Linked DNA regions of Notamacropus eugenii. The protein of the gene in region 1 purifies or fractionates together with the protein of each later gene. This does not show direct contact. Links are inferred from orthologs where the notes say so. Each region holds a gene or a part of one and is shown in the gene's direction. Other genes may lie near its edges.

Region 1 (7,942 bases):
CCTAGGTGCCAGGCCCTGTTCTGGGAGGGGAAAGATTCAGAACGGGCCCTGCATTCTGGTGGGGGAGGGCCTGGGAGCTTGGCTTCTCTGTGATGCGGGTGTCACTGCCCGGGTCCTCAGTGTCCCCCTCTGTAAGTTCTCCGGTGACCTCTCGGGTCCTGGGACGCCCCGGGGGGCAGAGGAAGAAGTCTAGGAGAAAGTAGCCTTCCTGGGGGAGATGGGCTCCACAGCCCCTTTTCCGCAGCGCAGGGGAGGGGACACGCCCTGGTGCTGCCCGGAGACGGCTGACGCCCCGGGCTGGCAGTTGATTGGCTGCAGAGCCTGCGCCAATGGCGTGGCCACCTGCGCTCCGCAGGGAGGCCTGACGCCTTCTTCGCCTAGCAACATCCAACCGCTTACCGAGCCCACGAGGTTTCTGGGCGATCTGCAAAGAGCCGAGTCATCCCTGCAAAGTGTGGGGGGGGGGGGGGGGGGGGGCTCGAGCGCTGCCCGCCCCCGCAAAGCTGGGAGCAGAAGGGCATGGGCTAGGGGGCGGGGGGCGCAGCTGGGCTGGGGGGGCATCTGGGCTAGGGGCGGGGGGGGCAGCTGGGCTAGGGGCGGGGGGGGGCAGCTGGGTGGGGGGGCATCTGGGCTAGGGGCGGGGGGGGCAGCTGGGTGGGGGGGCATCTGGGCTAGGGGCTGGGGGGGCATCTGGGCTAGGGGCGGGGGGGGGGCAGCTGGGCTGGGGGGGCATCTGGGCTGGGGGGGCATCTGGGCTAGGGGCGGGGGGGGGCATCTGGGCTGGGGGGGCATCTGGGCTAGGGGCGGGAGGGGGCATCTGGGCTGGGGGGGCATCTGGGCTAGGGGGCGGGGGGGGGGCAGTTGGGCGGGGGGGGGCATCTGGGCTAGGGGCGGGGTGGGGGGGGGCAGGGGGAAAGCCTGGATCCAAACAATGGACAATGGCTCCTGGAACTCGCCTGCATTTGCCTGCCCCCCCACCCCTCCACCCCAGGCTTCTTGGCCTCTGACCTCTTCTGGTGTTAAATAAATGTCTTCCAATAGAGGAGCAGGTGAAGACCGCCCTAGTAGAGGCGCCTGACGAGAAAGGTTCAGGGCCATTTCGGCAGAGCTCGAATTCAGATCCGAACAGCTGCAGCAGCACGCGGCCCTAGCTAACACCGATGCCTGCCTCTGGGTCACATGGCCCACTGTCCCATCTCCCACCTCCACACCTTTGCATAGCAGCCCACCAGCCAGAGGGAGCCCCATCTTCAGTCAGAGCCCAGCCGAATGCCGGGCCCTGAAGGACATGCCATGCTTATGTCGGTTCGGGGATAGAGCATCACCCCCACCTCTTTGAGCGTTCTGAGAAGCTAGGGTGAGGGACTTGTCCAGGTTCACAGGGACAGCCTAATTCCGGGGTGGGATGGAAACGGCGGCTTCCGGGCCTTAAGGCTGCCTCGGTCATCGGCTCCCTCTCACCCTGCACTGATTGATTTCACTCCCCTCACCCCCTCCATCTTCCCTCCCCCAATTCCTTCAGGCCTAACGCTCGATTGTATCAGCATTGCCCCGCTATCCGACCCGACTTTAGGTCACCCTGCCCTGGCTCCTGCTTGCCAATTGTCTTTCCTACGGAGGGCGTGGATCATGGAAGGTGGACTCCAGGAGAGGTACCCCCACAAACGATCTTCCTTTTTTTGAGGGTAGATATAACCTTTAAAAGACCAAAGCTCAGACCCGGATCTCCTTATGTGCCTCTTCTTGCAGCCGGCTATGAATGCCACCTCCAAGAAGAGCCCACCGCCCACGGTGGAGCATGGAGTGTGGCACCACCCCGGAACCTTTGTGGAGGGACTAACCTTATTAGGTCTGGCCTGGGCACCAATACACCCCACGAGGAGCCGTGGTGTCCTGCCCCATAATCCACAAGTAAACAAGTTACTGAACTTAGACAGACCTTGGTTCCTGGGGTACCACCAATGCGTTTGCCCACCTCCTGAAAACAACTTCAGGGAACCGGCCTGGCACCCATGGGAAGCTCTTGGCCAATCAGGGCAAGAGGGACTTGTGCAGAGATTTCCCCAGGCGCCCAACGTGGGCTTAGGAAGGTGACTCATCACTTTCTCTGGAGGCTGGACTGAGCAAAAGGGTGTTGGTGCCAGGGCTGAGCTGGGCACACCTGGGCTATGCCAGGTGCTGGCCCCACCCTCCAGGTGCCTTCTGAGCCAGAAGTGGCCCAATGAACAGGGAAGTTTGGGCTCTGACAACTTGGCCCAGGCAGAGCCAGACTTTACATGCATGTCATGTCCCCTCCCCCCAACTCAATAAACCCCAGTGGCTCCTGATCACCTCCAGCGATAAAAATCAAATCAAATCCTCCGGCTTTCAACATCCTTCACAATCTGCCCTCCTTTCCAGCCTTCTTACACCCCCACCCCCACCCCATGTATTCTTCAGCTCAGTGACACTGGCTGCCTGGCTGTGCCCCTTGTCTGGGACTGTCTCCGTCCTTATCCCCCTTCCTGACTTCCTTCAAGTACCAGCTTACATCCTACCTTCTCCAGGAAACCTTTCCTCATTCCCTCTTAATTCAGCTGCAGTTGATCCCGTAGACCTTGCTTGTGTGTTGTGAATTTAATCATCTTTTCTGTCTGGATGATTTGCACATCCCCCTCTGCAGCACAACCTCAGACCCAGGCCCTGTCTCCACTACCTCCCTGGAACACGGTGGGGGTGTGTGTGTGGGGAACAATACAAGAAACCCTAGCTCCAGAGGACCTCTGATACCCACGGTGTGACATTGGGCAAGTCACATGACCGGCCTGGGCCTCAGTTTCAAACTGTAAAATCGGGGCATTGAATTCAATGACTTTTGAAGTCCCTTCCAGGGCTATATCCAAAGAAACTGAGGCTCCCAACATTGAGGGGAAAGGACTTGGACAAGATAACAGCTCATTAGCTGAAAGCATCAGACCTGGAATCTAGATCTTTCGGATGTCTAGTCCAAGGCTCATACCGGGAAGTGTTCTGAGAACAATGTGGGAAGCACAGACCTCTGCTCTGTGAATTACCTGGTCAGCTGAGGGGAACTGGGGTGCAGCTTGGGGCAGTCAGAGAGCAGAGCAAGTTCTTCCCCCCACCATCCTAGGCCAGGGAAAGGGCCAGCACCCTCCTGTCAGCCCCATTACAACGATGGGTCACTGCTCAGGCTCACTGGAAGATGACCAATACCTACTCCTAGAGTACTTTTAGGTTTTATTTAAGTGCTTTCCTCCATGGTATTCTAAGTATTTTACTAAAAAGGAAACTGAGGCTTTGTGAGATGAGGCTCACACTGGCCTGTGGTCATGCACTTGGTGTATATCTGAGCTGGTCTTCCCCCTACAGCCCATGGCCTGCTTGGCTATATGATAAACTAGGGTAGGGCATCTGGGGTTTGCCAAAAGTGCTGTCTCCAGGAGGCCCTTTGAAAATGCACACTGACAACTCTCAGGGACTTGGAGACAGCAGGCCTATGAGCACTGTAGACAGAATTCTGAGATGGGCCAACCACTCTGGAAAGCCATTTGGAATTATGCAGTGGGAGGGGATTAAATGTCCACACCCCTGAACCCAGAGATCCCGGGGAGACTTACACACAGACTTCAGAGGAGGTCAGAGGCACAAGAAGGGCCTCTCAGACACAGAATATTCAGGGCACCACATCTTGTACTAGCAAAAGGAGATACCCCAGACTACAGAATGGGTCGGTTTTTGCTGAACTGCTTTTTACCTACTTTAAAATCTTTGTTAAAAGGGATGGAGGAAGGAGATTTTCAGAAGTGATTATGACATAAAAGGAAATTGGATAAGAAAAATAAGATTAACCTTACAAGTAAGAAAGAGGCAGCGTGGTGTGATGGGTAGAGAGCTGGCCTCAGAGTCAGGCAAATTGGCTGTGTGACCCTGGGCAATTCACTAAACTTCTCTGGGCTCTAAGAACTATGGAGATTATTGGTATCAAAGAAGGTATTGCTCACTGGGAGGAGTTTCCTATAACCATTAAGTCACTGGTCCCGTCATCAAGTTGTCCTTCCCTCCCTTCCTCCCTGCTCCTGGTAAAAGAGGCCGAGACTGCTAGGGCAGAGTGATGTAGACGCTGGCCGGTGAGATCACCTTATCAGTTATTTCTGCTTAACTGGTTTCTTAGATACAAGGGAGGGGTCAGTTCCTGGGTGTGTGTGTAGATTTCTAGAAATGACAAAATACTTCAATAAAACCTTTAACAAAGTTACATGCAGTTCATCTAAATGCCTCATTGGAAAGTGAAGGGTAGTAGGGTGGGGGAGGGTGGCAAGGCTGGGGAGGAGGAACCCTTCCCATCCCACAGGCTGATGGGAGGAAAGCATCATCCTGGTGTGGGGTCCCCAGTCTGGCTGATCCCGCCAGCTAGACAGGATTGGCCCGGCAGAGCTCACTGAAGGGACCCCTCCCCAGGACGGTGGTCACTAGCCCCAGTGATGGATAAAACTACCTTGGGGGGACATTTGGGGGTGGAGAGGGAAGGCCCTCCCACTCCCTGAAATCCTTCTTGCTCTGCTTGGGTGAAGGGGCTCATTCTGAGAGCCTGTGGATACCTCCAGTCTCCTCTGTAGTAAAATGAGTTTTGGGAGGGCAGAAATGAGAAGAGGCTTCAGACCCCCTCTAACATCCCCTCCCCAGGTATCTTAGCACGAGCCACTGGGCTTCTTCAGGCCCCACTTTTCTCTTGTCAAACGAGAGAGTGGGACTAGGTAGCCTCTTGGCTGGAGCTAGGATCTTCAGAGTGGGCCACACCTTAACCCTGACTGTCTCTAGATGTCACACACAGCTCACCCAAGCGTTCTCCAGCTTCCTGGCTTCCTCTAGGTGGTGCCGCCCCTTCCACATTCCTGAGCTCACACACCTGCAGCCTTCCGGGCCTGTCACAGAGGGGTTGGGCCAGGGCGAGAGCTGTGTGGCTCAGTGACTGTGGCCTTCTCCAGAGAGCAGTCAGGCACCCACTGGCCCTGCAGTCTCCCAGCTCTAGGAGGCAGAGAGAGGATCGAGAGGAGTTCCCAGACAGGGCGAGAGGTAGCCTGACAGTCCTTCCGCCACATCCTTCCAAAGAGATGCCTGCTGAGCTGGACAGGGCCTTTTGAAGGACAGGGTCTCCGACTAGCACAGAGGCCGGCGGCATGCAAAGGGACGACGAGCCCCAGCCTTTGGACCCAGCTGTTCCTACCATCAAGGTGGTCCTGGTGGGTGATGGGGGGTGCGGCAAGACGTCTCTACTGATGGTCTTCGCCAAGGGAAAGTTCCCTGAGGTGAGTCCTGACTTCCATACAGCTGGGTACACACGGATACATATGCCTTGTCCCCTCCTCACATTCACACATCTTCCTCCCCAACCTTCTCCTAAGAGATCCTAGAGGGGAAATGCGCCAGGGGGTGTGTGGGGACCTTCCCAAGCTCTGTTCACTTTCTTGCTGATGGGAGGCAGGACTTCTGCAGGGTGAATGAGTGACCCAAGCAGTTTGCCTCAGCTTGGCATGTTCAGGGTTTGATGCAGAAAGGCCCAGGCTGGCCTCAGTTCCTTCCCCTTCTGCTGCTCTCCCCAGCCGGTCCTTCAAAGACTAACTCAGAACCAGCTGAGACAACATTTCACCAGCCCCTGTTCTAGCCTCTTCTACCCATCTGAACTCCCTTCCAGATCAGCCCCTCACTCACCCCAAGAGCTTTTCCTTGATGCCCTGGCTGGGCTGTCCTTTGTTCACCTGGGATACAGTAATAATGCTACTGTTAATAGCACTGACATAGCCCTTTGGGGTTTGCAAAGCTTTCCCTGGATTATCTCAGGATCCCGATATGATTGCGTCCACTTTACAGATAAGGAAACTGAGGCTGAGAGAGGGACGTGATTTGCCCTGGGTCACACAGCTAGGAAGGGGAAGGATGTAGTATCTGAACCAGGTCTTTCCAGCTGCAAGTACAGCGCACTTCCCACTGGCCAACCCAGCTGTAGCTCTTTTCATCTCTAAACTGAGTGCTCACGTTCCATTGATTTTCTGGTTTACAAATGTCCTTTATACATGATCTTGTTTCAACACTTTACTGTTTAGCAAACACCATGCTGGCATCTAGGCCAAGTGGGCACTGAGCCTGGGCCTCAGGCAAAGGGAGTTACTGCCCGCGGGGAGCTCCCTGTCTAACCACAGGCTTATCTTCTCTTTGTCCTGAACCCCCACCTAAGCTGCAGCCTACCTCCACTTCCTCCCAGGATCCCAAGGGCCACCAGGGGGAGTGATCGGAGCATCCTGACCACAAATGCCAACCTGGCAGATCATGGGCATCATAGGCGAGAGGCAGGGGTTAGAGCTGGGGTTTCACTGGCAAAGGGATCTCTCAGATGAGCAAACCCTCTCCACTGCCACAGGTTGGCACCTTCTCTGGAGCCACAATGATGGGACACAGTTTATAAGGCAGGTAAGGGAGGCGTCCTTGTGTAAAATGCTGTGTGTGTATTCATCCTTTGTTGCCGAAGAAGACCAGGCCATCAGAGAAATGATGACATGACTTGCACTTGACTTTGTTTTGAGTGAGGGAGGGCTGTGCAGGTCACCAGCCTCACTTCTCCTCCAGAGCCATCTGAATCCAGTGACCAGATATTCATCAGGATGACTGGACATGACCCAGGATGAGGCAATTGGGGTTAAGTGACTTGCCCAAGGTCACACAGCTAGTGAGTGTCAAGTGTCTGAGGTGAGATTTGAACTCAGGTTCTCCTGACTCCTGCACTGGTGCTCTATCCACTGCACCACCTAGCTGCCCGGAACAGAAAGACTGAGGGAAGGAGCCTCAGGGAAGGAAGGGAGGGGCTCTCTTTCCTCCAGGCCCAAACCTCACCAACAGCCTCAAGCCCTGGAGGACAATGGTGGAAAGTTGAACCCTTCCCAGTCTGGCTCCCTTCTATTTTTCCAGTCTTATTTCATATTTCATTATATATGATGTATGATGCCTTTCATTTTGACATCATGTTCATTCACAAATATAGCCTTCCTTTCTCCTCCTCCCTATCAAGGTTTCCTTTTGATAAATATTAAAAAGAAAAAAAAAACCTTTTCAGCAAAGCTAACAAAATGGTTGTATCTGCTAGGATATGCACTACTCCACACCCATAGTCCCCCATCTCTTCAATGAATTTATAGGATCCTAAGGCTAGAAGTGATTACACTGGGAAGGTCTTTAATCAGATGAGGACCATGGGAGTAATGGACCCCAAATCAGAGAGCTTTTTACTGGCCCACTCTACCTTCTTCATCACCCATGTATTCTTCAGCTGCTCTGGACATGACATTCCATCTCTGGCCTCCAGACCTTTATCCAGACTGTGCTCTAAGTGAAGAATGTGGTCCCTGCTCCTTTCCTGCCCCTCTAATTCTCTCTTGTCTTGGCTTTGCTGAGGCTAGGCTGCTGCTTCTTGCCATGCAGGCCCATCTACCCTCTGTGAATTTCAGCACCAGAACCCCTGGGTTGGGGGGGATGGGACTAGACAGCTCCTGCAGGAAGGTTCTGTTTCCCTGGGGATGGGGAGTGGGAGGGTGCCATGGCCCAGCTCTCCAAAGGCCTGCCTGAGCCTGAGGGAATTCTCCTAGAATCAGAGCCAGGCCCTGTGCCCCTCCCCCTCCCCCCCAGAACCCTCCTCTGAGTGACCTGGGAGAAGGAGGAGGGGCTCTGGCCCTCTAGCTCCTGAGTGGATCAGATCAGCTCATCATCACTTTCACACTCCTGGGGAGGCACTGATGGAGAAGTGGGGGAACGCTCCGGTCTAGGAAACAGAGATGAGGACATCTTGGGGAAGCCAGCCCAGGCCTCTGATCACTGAGCTCTCTCAGCCACCTTGTGCTTGCCCCTCTATCACAAGGTCTGCGTCCCAGTCTCATTCCCTCACTAGATTGAGTCC
Region 2 (7,453 bases), on another chromosome or scaffold:
TATTAAGTGCCTACTATGTGACAGGCACTGTGTTAAATAGATGGGGAGGTAGAAGGTAAGAAATGAGTTCATCTCTTGATTGAGATGAATTATACTCCACATTATTAGGGGAGAAAACCCATGCAAATATGATTCCTAGAAGACTGAACTAGGTGATTTCATAAGCACTTTTAAACTAGCTTCTATGATTTTTGAATCATTCAACAATCACTTATTAAGGAAAGTCCTTATTCCAGGCATGAATATGCCAGGCACTGGGAATACAAAGATAGACCTTGACCTCAATGGGCTTACATTCATTTTTTTTCAAGTAATTTTAAAAATATCTTTTGTTTTTAATATCATTTAGATTTTTCTATTCCCCTCCCAGAGAGCTTTCCCATAAAAGAAATATTTTTAAAGGAAAAAAAAAGGATGAAGAGGAAAAAACAATTAGTAAGATCAATACACTGAAAAATAATCTGAAAATAGGGGGCAGAGCCAAGATAGCAGAGTAATAGCACTCACTTTCTAGAGCACTGCCCCCAAAGCCCAGTCAAATACCTGTCAAAAATGGCTCTAAACAAATTCTGGAGCTGCATAACCCAGAGAATGATGGAGTGAAGCAAATCCCCAGCCCAAGACAGCCTGAAAGGTCCCCAGGAAGTGTCTACTGTGGCACACTGGGGGCAGAGCGCGCAGTCCAGAGTGGGCACAGACAGAACCTGAGTAGTAGACCTTGGGGAGACTGAATTTCTCATGCCTGTGACAGTTTCCAGACTTCAGGACCCTAAAACGCCGAGGACAAATTGGAAGGTCAGTAGAAAAAGCCTGTGGGACCAATGTGGGAGAGTGGAGTGGTCCAGCCCTAGTCCCAGGGCAGCAGAGGGGGAAGGGGGGGAGGAACCCATAGCAGCCACAGCAGCAGAAAAGAGGGGATGGGAATAAGAGGGGTTGTTCTTCAGTTGTCCTTCTGGTTTACATTGGTGTAGTCATCTGTGCTGTTTTCCTGACTGCCAACAGTTCATGCTTCTCTGTATTCATCATATTCACCATTTCTTGCAGAAAAACATTAATCAAGAGGCTTACCTTCTAATGGGGAAAACAACATGTATGCAGATAAATATCTATGAAGTCCAAGAACTTTCTTGGAAGGGAGAACTGGAAGTTGGGGAGGGGGAATTAGAAAAGGCCTCATTTATGAAAGGGTGCTTGAACTGAGCTTGGAAAGAAGCTAGGGATTCTGGGAGGAAGGCATCATAAAGGGGAAGTCTAGCATATAACTGTTCCTGAATTAATTCAGGTGTTAATTTAATCACATTTCGTATCTCAAAATCAAGGAAGTGTTCAATATAATTAGAAAAGGAGGTGGCTGAACATGTAGTTAGAATGAGAGAGAACAGAAGGACATTCCCTATGCTGCAGCAGAGGAAGGCCTCCAATGCATTGGGCAGATCCTCTGTGGAAATGTGGGCACTTGAATTGTTCAGGATAAGGTGGTAGGTAGGTTTTCCAATTTACCCCATTGGAGGGAGTATTCCCATGGAGGAAAGGGCGGGTGGGGGTGGGGGGGGGGAAGAGAGAAGACTTGGTGATGTCATGGTTCCATTGAAGTATCTCCCCCAGCTCTGACACTTTTATATTCTCTAGAACCTAGACTACAGGGATCTATAAGGGAGAAGGAACCACAGAAGAAACCAAATAGGCCAGTAGTTTTGCATAACTTTATGGAATCCCAGCTGTGGGCGGTATCTCCTTTCTTCATACTGCCCTAAGGCTCAGGTACTTCTCTCTGCCCTAGCCTCTCTTTGTTTCCCAAGAAGGCAGAAATGAAAAGAGAGGCATGTAGGTGGGGCAAGGTTGTTTCTGAGACTCCAGATGAGGTGGTGCCAGTTGCAGAATCACCTGACTGTGTCCTTGCTAGAGAGCAGCAGTAACACTGGTGTTTTGGCTTCAGAGGTCAATGTCCCCCCTGTCTTGAAAGGGTTTTCATTGTTGACATTAAACAGAACAAAATACTGAAAAATAAACACCAAGAATTAAAAGAGCTAGGGGTTGAGTTTAAAGTAAAATACAAACACAATTGATCAGGAACATCTCTTTTCAGTTTATTCAAAAACAATCGAGTTCCTTTGAAGATGTCGATTATCCTGATAATATCAAACCCAAACAACAGAACTTTCAATCTGAAGCCATGTCACCTTTACATAAACTATACAACCATATCTGAATTGATGCCACTTGTGTCACAGTCCCTTCTGTTCCCATTTGATAACAAGGCCAAAGGATCCTAGAGATGCAGTGGCCTTCAGAAGCTATCTAATCAAGCCCATATCTGACTAGGAGCCCATCTCCTATACAGCTCTTGACTGAGCCAGTTCGCATTTAAATTCCTTCAGGGATGCGAAACTCAACATCTCCCCAGGAAGCCAATTGTACTTTTGGTGGGTTTCTTTAGATAGTTTTTTCTTACATTTTTGCAAGCGTAATCCATTATTCTGTATATATAAGTGGGGTGATCTGCCTGGTCTGCAGACCCCCCAGTTCAAAATCTATGTTAATTCAAGCTCGTTTTCCACTTCCCTTAAGCAGCTAGTTTGTTTATATGCATCTCATTTGTCCTCAGCAAATACTTATCAGACCAAGAGAGTTAATGCCCTCTCCTTGCTGACCTTCGAGCAGCACCCACTGTCAAAGCTTTTCTAGTTCAAGAAACAGTGTGGTTTGGTCAAAGTGGCAGGAATTGGACATGGCCGAGAAAGTTACATAACTTCTTAGAGTCTCAAGGTCTTCTGATCAATGGTGGGGATCTGTAGTATTTATCTGATAGGGTTGTTGAGAATCTGGTGAGACTGCGAAATGCCTTACAAACCTTAAGGTGCTGCATAAGTAGCAGTTATCTTGCACTTTTCTGGTAAAACCTTTGCGAGCTTGTATTCCACTGCATGGCACGATAAAACGTTAGAGGGGGACATGTTTAGACAGTACTTTGTGATTATCTGACACGTGATCTCCCTGTATTTGAATAAATAGGTACGTAGTGTCAATCTGTCTGGGCAATCAAGCAGCGAACTTTTATTAAGTGCCTAGCACTGTGCTGGGCTTACAAAAAGACCCAACTGCAAGCCTTTTGCTCTCAAAAGAGTTTACGTTCTACTGGATGGAAATGGACATATACAAAGGGATTAAAAACAAATATAAGGGGAATGTATGGGAGGAGGGGAAACATGCCTGAGGGATCAGGAGCTTGTGCAGAGGTTTGAAGGAAACTGGAGAGGTGGAGTGAATTTTAGGCTTGGGAGACAATCAACAAAAAGGCATAGAGACTGAAAATGGAGTGCTGTGTGTGAGAAACAGGGAAAAGGTCAATTCGGCTAGATCCTATGTATGCATGAGGAGGAGCCCTGTGTGATAAAGGCTGAAAAGGCAGGTCAGGGGCTTTAACAGGTAGAGGAATTTATTTGATCTTACAGGCCATAGGGGACCACTAGAGTTTACCGAGTACCAACAGGGAATGATATGGTTCGATTTGCACATTAGGAGTATGGGTTTGGCCATCGTGTTGATATTGGGAGTGGAGAGACTGTAAAGCCACGTTTCTGGTGACTTTCCAAGGGATACTAGTTGGGGAACCAATAACAGAACTAAGTTTGGAAGGGACTTTCGAGATCGTCTATTTCAATGACTTCATTTTTCATATAGGGGAAACTGAGTCCTAGGGCGGGCTAGTGAGTTGGTCAAGGTCACCCAAGGTAGTAAAGTCCGAGGTCATACAAGCAGTAGGTGGTCGAGGCCAGCTTCGAAGCAAATCTCTTTCCAGTTCACTACCTTGCCTTCCGAAAGCTCCTAAGCGTGGGTGGAGTGGGAGTCGAGGTGGCCCTGACCAGGCATGACCTCCCGCGCCTTCCCGGCTGTCAGCGCAACTTTTGCCTCCTCCGTCGGCCTCCGCTTCCCCATCCGAAGGATGGGCTCCTCCCCCGGGTCAGCGCCTCCCCGCGCCTTCCCTCCCCCTCCCCCGCTCGCTGTCCCGTCCCCGGGAAGTGCCAGGCGCACTCTGAGAGGCGGAGGGCGGGCGCCGGACGGCAGGACCAACAGCCGGCGGCCGGACAGGCGGACGGGCGGGCAGCGCGGCTCGGGCGGCGCGGCTCTAGCCGTGCCGGGCATGCTCAGTAGCGCGGCCCGACTCAGCGGCGGAGTCGGAAGCTGTGCTTTCCCCGGCCGGGCGCCTGACAGCGGCTCCCCGGCCGCCTCGCAAGTGCCGAGGCCCTCCTAGAACCACCGGCGCCCCTCGGCCGTCCTCCTAGGAGAGCGGCGCGGCTCGGCGCGGGGGTTCGCCCGACGCCCCGGGGCCCGAGGGCGGCGGCCGCGCCCCCAGGGGCGGGCCGGGCGGGGTCGGGAGGCGAGCTCGGCTCAGGGCGGGGCGGGGTGCGGGGCGCAGGTGACCGGGGCCGGGAAAGATGGAGCAGCCCGGGACGGCGGCGGGCCCCGGCGGCGAGGAGCCCGGCGGCGGCCGGAGCGGCAAGCGAAGCACTGGGGGCCGGGCCGCCGGCGACGAGGAGACCAAGAACAAGCCCAAGCTGGTGAGTGTGCCCTGCCCGGGGGGGTGGGGGTGGGGCGGGGGGGAGGGGAGCCCCCGGGATCGCCGCGCGCGAGGCTTCCCCCCCACCGTCCGCGGGGGAGGGGGGCGGGCGGAGCCCCCGAAGGAGCGGGCGCGCGGGTGTGTGCCTGTGCGCGTGCCCGCCCGCGCCCGCGCCCACTGTCCGCCCACCCCTCTTTGTAGCTGCTGCTTGTCACCGAGCTTGGGGAGGGGGAGCCCCCCGGGAACCTCTCCGATGTCTCCCTTCCTCCTCCCCCCTTCCTTCTCTGCTCTCCCAGAACTTGCCAGAGCAGCCGTCCACACACGCTTGTGTCTGCCTCCCTCTCCTTACTTTTCTCTTTCTTTCCTTCGCTCCTGTTCTCACTTTAGTTACCCCCTTTCCCCTGGTGCGGTTGGGCACCAGTCGTGAGGAGCCCTGGCAGCGGGGGTGGGTGGGGTTCTCGTGGGCCGCCAACAGAAAGTTTGAGAGCCCCTGGCAGCCGGCTCCAAGTTTGAGTGGCTGCAGCCACTTCCTGCCGCTGCCCGAGGAAAGGAAGGGATCGTGTTGGGCAATCGTGCAGCAGCTTCCCCCTACACCCTGCCCTTGTTGGAGGGCGAGCCTGGGCCTCCCTTGTGACTCAGTCCGCACAGGAAGGAGGCGACGCTGGAAGTTTGGAGTTGATAGTAACTTGTCAGTTAACATCATTGGAGGAGAATTGGATAGGGTCACTCCGTTTGGACATTTAGAGATTTCGTACACATCCATCCTCCATACAGTGTGTTCTTTGATTTACTTCACATTTTCCTGGGAGCTTTATAACTGTGAAGTAGATACCTGGGCCGACATGTAGTCAATAAGCATTTCTGAAGCACACATTTAGACTCTGTTAAGCATGTAGGGTTAGGCCAAAGACAGCCCCTGCCCTCACTTGCCAACCTAACGGGGGAGCCTACCAGCAAACAATGTACAAACTTTATATGGAATGAATAGGAAATAATGAGCAGGAGGAAGACCCTGGAATTGAGAAAGGTAGGGAAAGGCTACCTGTGGAAGGAAGCTGGAATTTTAGGTGGGACCTGAGGGAAGCCAGAAGTGGAGATGACAGACAGTACTTCACTCCTGGGGAACCGCCAAAGAAAATGACCAAGCCAAGAGATAGAGGCATCTTCCTTTATTCCTGCACACCTTCTACTACATAGTGCTCTACAGAGAGGCCTCCATCTGAGCTGGCATATAGACACTGAGTAGGGCAGCAGCTAGAATTTGAACACTCATCTCCTTGACCCCATCTCTAACTCTTGGTCAACTGCAGTAGCTTGCATGTGAGAAGCCATTTCCATAACTGCTTGCTTCATCTGAAAAGATAATGGAAGATGTCATCTGGCTTGCCACAGAAACCCACCTGCATTTTTCTTGAGCCAATTTTTCTGTCATGGTTGGCAGTGAGTGAGATGTGTTTCCCCCACTTTTTTTCCAAAACAAGGGAGGTGCATTTGATCAACTCTTGTCCAAGATAGGTCACTAAATACTTGGTATTTGTCTTCATTCTCATATTTTTAGTATGACTTTTTTAGTCATTGTGAATATTCTAATTCTCCTTGATTCAGCCTGTATCAGTCATGGGAATTTCCTCATGCTTCTCTAAATTCATCTTAATGACTTTACTTTGCACAGTGATATTCATTACATCCATACACCACAATTTCTTCAGCCTTTCCTCAATCAGTGAGCACCCACTTTGTTTTTTTCCAACTCTGATACAGAAACAAATTCTGTTCTGAGTTGCACAAACTCTGTAAATGACTCATCTCAGCCAGCAAGCTTTGCTTGAATTGGTTTTTGTTTGGCTCCTATCTAGTTCGGTGCCGTTTGAACCTCTCTGTAATATCTGCGTAAAGGAAACTTCCAGGTTTTGTGTGAGGGGCTTACCAGAGCCTGGTGACTTTTGGAGGGTGTGTGTTGGAAGGCATGCTGGATCAGGAGTCAGAGCCTCTGGATTCCCATAATACATACTGTATTACATGTGTGACTTTGGGCATGTCACTTAAAACTGACCTAGGCCCTTTCCCCTTTTCACTTCCTCTTGTATAGAATGAGAGGGTGAGGCTCAATGCCCTCAGGTTCCTTATAGCTCTAAATCAATCAGCCTACAAGTTCTGCTCTTCTGCATTTGTAGTAATGTTGGTCATTTGGGTTTTGCTAGAATGCTAGAACTACCTTTTTACCTAACCTTAAAAATTCTTTAGTAGTTGCAAATAATTGGTCAGGCCATTTAAGGAGAAGCTTTTGCTTTTAAGAAGCCTGCTGTCAAGGAAAAGTGTTTCTCTTTGTTGGTAATAGCACCTCAATTCTGTTCTTAACTCCCTTTGGCTTTTTGTCCTGTTTCATCTTGTATGTTTCACTTGTCTTAGACAAAGAAAGACATAGATCTGTGGTGGTAAAACTAGCTATTAGCAGGATGTGATAGTGTCTGCTCTGGCTCCCATTGGTCTTTAAACTATCCCATATGGAGCACTGCTTTAAGCAAGGAGACACTGTTGTTACTATATAATTTTTAAATTTCTTTTTTCTTAGACTAAATGTAAGTTAAGCAGCATAAAAAATTGAACGGTATATCTTAAAAGCCAAGTGGGCAAAGCAAATAAAAACAAACCTATGAGAACAACATATTATAGATAAAAGACTTGTGACTTTTTGGGGAAACATTTAATTTCTTTAGTGTTGAAAGGCAAGCAGGAAATAGTGGATAGAAACTTGGGCTACAAGCTGGGAGTGTTCAAGTCCTTCCTCTGACAGGCACTTGCCCTGTGTAAACCTAGGCAAGTCATTTAGCCATGCACAGCTATGGACAACCAACTGTTTGCAGAGAAAGTAGTCACTTGCATTGGTGAAGAGTG

What was found. The genes of interacting proteins can lie anywhere in the genome.
Region 2: the proteins of RHOD (region 1) and DIAPH2 purify together in Homo sapiens (co-immunoprecipitation; 3 studies listed by BioGRID and IntAct, with this or other methods). This does not show direct contact. The link is inferred for Notamacropus eugenii from reciprocal best matches to the Homo sapiens genes RHOD and DIAPH2.

What each region holds. Positions count from the first base shown.
Region 1 is NC_092873.1:19,533,668-19,541,609, forward strand, and holds the start of RHOD (rho-related GTP-binding protein RhoD), read left to right. Parts: upstream 1-4,918; 5' UTR 4,919-5,177; coding exon 5,178-5,306; intron 5,307-7,942. Other genes in the region: uncharacterized protein, read right to left, coding at 2-424, 1,009-1,074. UniProt on the Homo sapiens protein: Involved in endosome dynamics. May coordinate membrane transport with the function of the cytoskeleton. Involved in the internalization and trafficking of activated tyrosine kinase receptors such as PDGFRB.
Region 2 is NC_092879.1:88,993,547-89,000,999, forward strand, and holds the start of DIAPH2 (protein diaphanous homolog 2), read left to right. Parts: upstream 1-4,402; 5' UTR 4,403-4,436; coding exon 4,437-4,559; intron 4,560-7,453. UniProt on the Homo sapiens protein: Could be involved in oogenesis. Involved in the regulation of endosome dynamics.